2 linked regions of the Arabidopsis thaliana genome follow. The protein of the gene in region 1 interacts with the protein of each later gene in a pairwise test. Each region holds a gene or a part of one and is shown in the gene's direction. Other genes may lie near its edges.

Region 1 (3,967 bases):
GTTCTTTAGTGACGCATGCTATTATCTATACTGTTGAATTTATTTTGATTTTTCTGGGTTTCTTGCCTAGTCTTTACCTTGTATTAAACAATAGAATGATAAAGAAACCTCTGAAAATGTTTCTAGAGAAAAGTTTTCAGACAGCTTTGTTCCTTTTTAATTGTTATTCCTGCTAGTCTCTTTACATAAAAATCTGAAAATGTTATCCTAATGGTTCCGCATATACAATAATGGAAAACACACTTCTCTCAGGTCCGTGATATATTTTCGAAAGCAGCAGCTGCAGCTCCATGCATACTCTTTTTCGATGAATTCGATTCAATTGCTCCCAAAAGAGGACATGATAATACTGGTGTAACTGATCGAGTTGTTAATCAAGTAAGTTACTTCAAAGTCTGAGCAAATTCTATCCAAGTCAAAGTTCAAACATCTCATGTCATATTTTTCTTTTGCGTAGTTTTTGACAGAACTGGATGGAGTTGAAGTTCTAACAGGGGTCTTTGTATTTGCTGCAACCAGGTATTCACACCCGAATAAGTCTATCTTGCATATCATATTTTGTGTTCGATGTATCATATAATCAACTGCAAACGGTGGATTCTTCTGAGTTGATAGTTAATAATAAATCTTAAATATGATAATCTTGAAGCCTGTGCTCAGTCCTCAATTTATGTTTTTCATTACATACAAAAGAGGGATAATGACTTTATAATGGATACATGACTCAATTAACAGTAGACCAGATTTACTTGATCCTGCCCTCCTAAGGCCTGGCCGGCTTGATCGTCTTCTTTTGTGCGACTTTCCTTCCCCACCAGAACGATTAGAGATTCTTACAGTTCTTTCTAGAAAGGTTAGTACTCTCAGTTACATCATTTCTGCTAATCATTTTTGTCCTCAAGTCTCATGTAAAGTATGTATGCTACATATCTGAACGACCATTAACTAGAATCTTCTATGGCTAAGCGATTTCCATTGGATTCTGACATTCAATTGATGGTCTCCCTAGACAATATGTAGATAAGATTTATCTATATATATTACAAGTAGTTAAGATGACAAAAAATCTTTCTGCATTTTTACAGCTTCTGATGGCTGATGATATTGACCTAGAGCCTATAGCTTTGATGACTGAAGGCTTCAGTGGAGCTGATCTTCAAGCTCTTCTCTCAGATGCGCAACTTGCAGCTGTACACGAGTATCTGAACAGAGAAGATAAACCCGAGACCGGAACTACACCAATAATAACTGATCCTCTTCTGAAGTCGATTGCTTCTAAAACTAAACCATCGGTTTCCGAAACCGAGAAACAAAAGCTCTATGACATATATAGCCAGTTTCTGGATTCAAGAAAATCGGTATCTCTCTCATCTCCACTCTAATTCCTCTTCCCTTTTATACAAACCCAGTTGTTGATTACTAACAACATCAAAATCTTATTTTGCTTGTAGTCAAGAGAAGCAAAGGGCAAAAGAGCAACCTTAGCATAATCAAAGGTATTACAAAGACACAAAAAGGAATGGTTACATTGTAGAAATCACATCATGTTGTAAAATTTGCTTTATGATAGATATGCCCAGTTGTTAGCATTAGAGTAAAAGTGGTTGAAGTTTGGAATAAAGATAGTTAGATACTAGAGAGACACATGGTAAGTTCTACAAGATTCAAACGACTATAGACATCTCTACAGTAATAAGATTAATACATTTCTTTTGGCAATTTTAGAATTTTAAAAGCTGTAATATTTTTGGTCAAAACAAGATAAAAATGGTATTCAAGTTCCGTAATTTTGTGTATGAAATGAAATAAAAACGCATAGAAAAGAGTCAACTATTATCGTGCAACAAAATTTATCAGTCCAAAGCAAAAAAGGAAAAGAAACGACAACGTATTCGTAACTCACAGGTAAAGGTTGTTGCCTCCTATCTTTGACAATGCCAGTGAATAATGTTGTTAATTGTTATGGCCATAACTTGAAATGAGTCAACAAAATTATCCACAGAGGACGAATAGAGTCAGTTAAGAAACTGTCATGAGTACAGTTAATAATATCTCATCACATTCAACAGAGACAGCCAAAAAAAAAAAAACGATTGGTTTATAAATTGGGCGGGGGAGAGAGGTTGCTGTGACGTCTCTCTCTACCCATCTCCTTAACCGAAACGGCATGCATTTCTTCCTTCTTTAACTTCCTTTCTCCATTCCTTCACGACAACAATGAAATAAACTCATCACAAATTATGTCATTTTGATGTTTGACCAAACAAACTTAGTTCTATAAACAAAATAATTTATTATCTTTTTTGTGTGACAAAAACCCAAACCCAAAAACGGTTAAGAACAAAGGGATAAAAGAGTCCTTTTCCTCTTTCCTCTCCATATTCTTCTCCTGATTTTCCTCTTTTCATTTTCTTCTCTTTTCTGGTAATATGAACAAGTTCTGAGCTGTGACCATTAGACCAACAACAGTCTTTATATCTTCTTTTAGTTCTTTCTCTCTCTTTTTATTTCCTTCTTCTGTTTTAAGTTCTATTTCTTCAGAAAAAAATCCGGCATTCTCATTCGATTTTACCTCCACTTGTTGCCTCGGCTTGCTCTTCAGGTATGCCTTTTGACCTTTTTATCATTCTCTCTGACTCCTGTAGGGTTATCAAATCGTAAATTGAATGCTACATAGAAACTTTTATTAACAGTTCTCTCATCATATGAACTAGTAACCACCATAAAGATGATGATTATGACGATGAAGATAGATTTAGGACATGAAAAGCCCTCTTCATTGTCATTCCTACAATTAGTAAGAGCACCAAACTTTGATATAGATATTTGAGTATACAACAAGTCAAAGCAAATTTAGGAGAAGCCAATTTTTTATTATTTTTCCCCACATAAGAATCTAGTGCTCTTGTAAAAGTGGTGAGGTTTGAGTACACGACTACCTCATCTTTTGTATCTGTAGCTATTTATGTTTTGAGTTGCTTGTTTTTGAAAAATTATGACGAAGGAAATCTTTAACAAATACCTAATTTTGGATTACAAGAAGACTTCTGAGTATTTCTAACCTTCCATCAATCTAATCTCTGAACTCACATGAAGTTGACATTCCTCGGTTCTCTTGATAGGACCTTTCATGTTTGAATATTTTTTCATCTTCTCATCAACTGCATAAACGGTAGTTTTGTTGCAGGTCAGAGACCAAAATAGGTGTAAATCAAAGGTTGTTTTGTCAGAGAAACACTTACATATGAATAGCAAAGGGAGTCAAAACGTTGCAACAACCTGCAAGCCTGTCACTACATTTGTCCAAACTGACACCAACACTTTCAGAGAAATTGTGCAGCGCTTGACAGGTCCAACAGAGAACAACGCTGCAGCAGCAACACCAGAAGCAACAGTGATAAAAACCGCCATACAAAAGAGGCCAACTTCAAAGCTCCATGAGAGAAGGCAATGTATGAGGCCAAAGCTTGAAATTGTCAAACCTCCTCTGAGCTTTAAGCCCACTGGTACGACACCATCATCTAAATCTGGTAATACCAACCTTTTAACAAGTCCAGTGGGCACCCCTTCTTCATTGTTCTCTAACTTGTCCTTGATAGAAGGGGAACCAGATAGTTGTACAACAAACATCGAAGAAGAGGAGAAAGCCATTAAAGAAAGACGCTTTTACTTGCATCCATCGCCAAGGTCTAAACCGGGGTATACAGAACCAGAATTGCTTACTTTGTTTCCTTTAACATCTCCCAATTCGAGTGGCAAACCATAAACCCGACAGATTAATCATAAGTTTGTTCTCTGCCTACTATCCCAAAGATTATGTACATGTAGAGTTTCACAACAATATCATTGGAAGAGGAAGATTGTTCTCTTACATTGTTCACTCAAGATTTGTCTGTGTCATATGTGCAATTGCTTTGTGTAGACCATCATGATCTAGCTTCGCAGCGTTTTAACAATTTTCATCGAT
Region 2 (3,600 bases), about 14 Mb from region 1:
TCAACAAAGGACACATTTTTTTTCCAATACGACCAAGTAAAGCCTAACTCAGATCCGTAAAATTGAAAAATTGAATTTGGGGGAAGAAACTAACAGAGGGATTAGAAGGATCGGAGGGACGATGTTGACTGAAATTGTGAGGATCAAAGGAAGGCAAATCACCCAGAATCGACGCCATTGGAATCGTGATTGATGATCTTTCCTTCTCTTCAGACAGAGAGAGAGAGAGACGAGAGATATAAAAGGGAGAAACGAAAAAGGGTTTATGGGCCCATTGGGCCTACCTCTAGAACCAGCTTCAAATTAATGTTTCTCTAAATAACAATAGAGATTCTGTTTTTTATATATGAATATGAATAAAGAAACAATTTATTTACAAAAAAAGAAAAAAAAAATATGAATAAACAATTATGGTTCATAGGAATATTTCAAGAAAATTAATTAAGTGCCTATATCAACAAGGTTCACTTTTTGATTCTATAATTTGTGTTGAAATTTTTTTAGTAAACGTATTTGAGTTAATCGGTTCAAGATATAATCTATTAAGAAATTATTTTCAAATTTGTGCGAGTGAAAATAAAATTATGGAATCTGCGGATGGTTTATGTTGGAGTGTTATATTTTTATAGAATCGATAAGTGAATTTGATTTCGTAAGTATTCTCCAAAATTGTTTTCTAGACTAGTCAAATTGATTAATTTTTTTTTATATTTTGATCTCAATTCACTTTCATTCATAAATATGAATTAATAAAATTCCATCTTCCTTCGATGACCATCGAAACTGAAAATATTTATCTTTCAATTGTGTAATTTCACTGTTTTTTTCCTTAAGAAAGAGTCTGAAAAAGATGAGGAAGAAAGAAAAACACATGCACTCTCTTCTTCGCATATATGTCTTTCAGTGAGATTAATGTTGGTTTTTTACATATGTAGCATTCATTATAGGTCAAAGGAAACTTCCACGTGTTTATAGAGTTAAAAGGCTTGATTTATTTTGGGGGTCAAATAAGATTCTTAACCACTACAACCATAATAACATGTTTATGTTGAATTAGTCGCTTATCCGTATTAAATTTAGAGCCACGCCACTTGAATTGTATGAGATACATAAAAAAAACAAGGAAACTAAATCATTCTACTTAGCATTTTACCAAGTTACATTGATTTTGACTCTAAATTCAACCTGAACATACGTTTTATGATGTATGTATGCAATGTCTACTACACCTTTCCACTATAAGTTCAATTAAATTGATAGGATTCAATGGTTTACTAGTATATGATCGTACAGTATATCATGTGTGTTCGAAAGAAAAACAAAAACAAAAGTCACTTAAAATATATAGTTGAATCAAGTACAATTGATGATCTATGAAACTTTTAATTAACATATACATGTGAGGTATGACTAAAAACACTAATTAATACTAATTACTTAAAGATATTTAGGTACGTATATTCGAGTAGTAAATATTTATTGAAATATAACCACATGTCGACATATTAGACCAAGCCAATACAAATCTCTCATATAAAAAAGAAGAAAAAGAAGAAAAAAAGAGATAGGAAAAATGAGGGAGATAATAATAAAAGTTTAATAACACAAGGAAACTAAATGGAGGTAAAAAGCAGTTGAACAGAAAATTAGGTGAACTTAGTTGGCCTCAATGCCCTTTTACCCTTACTTCTTCTTCTTCTCCTTCTTTTTTCTTCACAATCTATCATTACACATCTATAAATATTGTGAGAGATAGAGAAAGAAAGAGACTTATAACAATGGACAGAGAAGACATAAATCCTATGTTAAGCCGCCTAGATGTCGAAAACAACAACACCTTCTCTTCCTTTGTAGACAAAACCCTAATGATGATGCCTCCATCAACATTTTCCGGTGAAGTGGAACCTTCATCTTCTTCTTCTTGGTATCCAGAAAGCTTTCATGTGCATGCGCCGCCATTACCACCTGAGAATGATCAAATAGGTGAGAAAGGGAAGGAGCTGAAAGAGAAGAGATCGAGGAAAGTTCCAAGGATTGCGTTTCATACGAGGAGCGATGATGATGTTCTTGATGATGGTTATCGTTGGCGAAAATATGGGCAGAAATCTGTCAAGCACAATGCTCATCCCAGGTACTTTTACCTATATAGTTGTATTAATTAAGAGTATTTATAATTTTATTCGTGAATCTATGACATCATATTAAAATTGATTTCCAAATATTGGATCGACCAAAAACTTTCGTGGCTACAAAACATTAGGTTAGCTTAACAACCAGTACGATCTAGTCTTGTGTTTAACATTAAACTGATATATGTAGAAAATGTATCTTTTAGTTGCAAAAATACCATAGTTTTTAGGTTTAGCTAGTAATAGTTATATAACGAAATCAATCCCTTACTAAAGCCTATAACGAAATCTGTCGTACGTACTTTTCGAAAATTTATGATGTGATGATAATTTTCGAAAACAAAGCATGAGAATAGATGTGATTTTTAAAAAAGGATTATCCTATAGTTTTCTTTTCTGATAATTTGATTATCCTATAATATAGTTAATTATTGTGCAATTATATAATCTTAGAAACATGTATAAACCTGATATAGGGATTCTCTTTATGTGCTACCACATCCGAGTATGAAATTGTTTGGAAAGGGATGATTTACTCAAATATGTATAATGTATCCATCAATATTCTGGTCAAGAAAATGATCTTAATTAGTTCTAGATCAGTATAAAATATATAGTTTCTTATGGGCTTATGGCTCATATATATATGAAAACTTCATCCAGATGAAAAGTAATTTAATTTGCTTCCTTGTTTTTTATTCCTTTTTGCTAGGGAATCAAAAGCAGAGATAAATCCAATTCTACTTCATTTTATATGATATTTACGTTCTTAGCAAAAAATAGAAAAAAAAAATAGTTTCATGAGACTTCATAGAAATTAAAATCAGTCTTGCATAGACACCCAAAACTTCTACTTATTTTTCATATGAATTATAAAAAAAAATTTGAAGAATTAATAGATGAAACTATTAATCTTGTGTCACAAAATGCAGGAGCTATTACAGATGTACGTACCACACATGCAACGTGAAGAAACAAGTGCAGAGATTGGCAAAAGATCCAAACGTCGTCGTAACGACCTACGAAGGCGTTCATAACCATCCTTGTGAGAAGCTCATGGAGACTCTTAATCCTCTTCTCAGGCAACTCCAGTTCCTCTCCAGTTTCTCTAATCTTTGAATATATAATGGCTTAATTAATGGTGTAATTACTTAAAGGTGATTAAGGTGTTAATCACCCCACTGACCGTTTGACGACCCACATCTCCCAAGTGACAAGTCACAAGTGTGTAGATCAGATTTTAAACCAATGTAACAGTTACGACTTTTTACAAATGTTTCTGAATTTTATCCCCTGATTTCTGGTTTATGATCGGTTTACGCCGATGATTTGACAAATACCAGACAAAACAAGTTTAGTTACATATGTAAGTATGAAAAGGTAGTTTCCTCTAACTTCATTAAACCCACCCTCATTCTCTACAACTTCTTTGATATTTTTCTACATACTTAACAGAGAGAAGTTAGGGTCC

What was found. The genes of interacting proteins can lie anywhere in the genome.
Region 2: the proteins of AT5G08480 (region 1) and WRKY24 interact in binary tests that used the Arabidopsis thaliana proteins (3 or more experiments, as listed by UniProt).

Annotation. Positions count from the first base shown.
Region 1 is NC_003076.8:2,741,242-2,745,208, forward strand, and holds AT5G08480 (VQ motif-containing protein), read left to right. Parts: upstream 1-2,077; 5' UTR 2,078-2,602; exon of another isoform or gene 2,603-3,176; 5' UTR 3,177-3,244; coding exon 3,245-3,766; 3' UTR 3,767-3,870; downstream 3,871-3,967. Other genes in the region: PEX1 (peroxisome 1), read left to right, coding at 253-378, 458-519, 736-853, 1,086-1,358, 1,452-1,490; SLG1 (Tetratricopeptide repeat (TPR)-like superfamily protein), read right to left, coding at 3,967-3,967. UniProt on the Arabidopsis thaliana protein: May modulate WRKY transcription factor activities.
Region 2 is NC_003076.8:16,622,442-16,626,041, forward strand, and holds WRKY24 (WRKY DNA-binding protein 24), read left to right. Parts: upstream 1-1,715; 5' UTR 1,716-1,778; coding exon 1,779-2,131; intron 2,132-3,061; coding exon 3,062-3,248; 3' UTR 3,249-3,536; downstream 3,537-3,600. Other genes in the region: AT5G41560 (DET1 complexing ubiquitin ligase), read right to left, coding at 95-178. UniProt on the Arabidopsis thaliana protein: Transcription factor. Interacts specifically with the W box (5'-(T)TGAC[CT]-3'), a frequently occurring elicitor-responsive cis-acting element.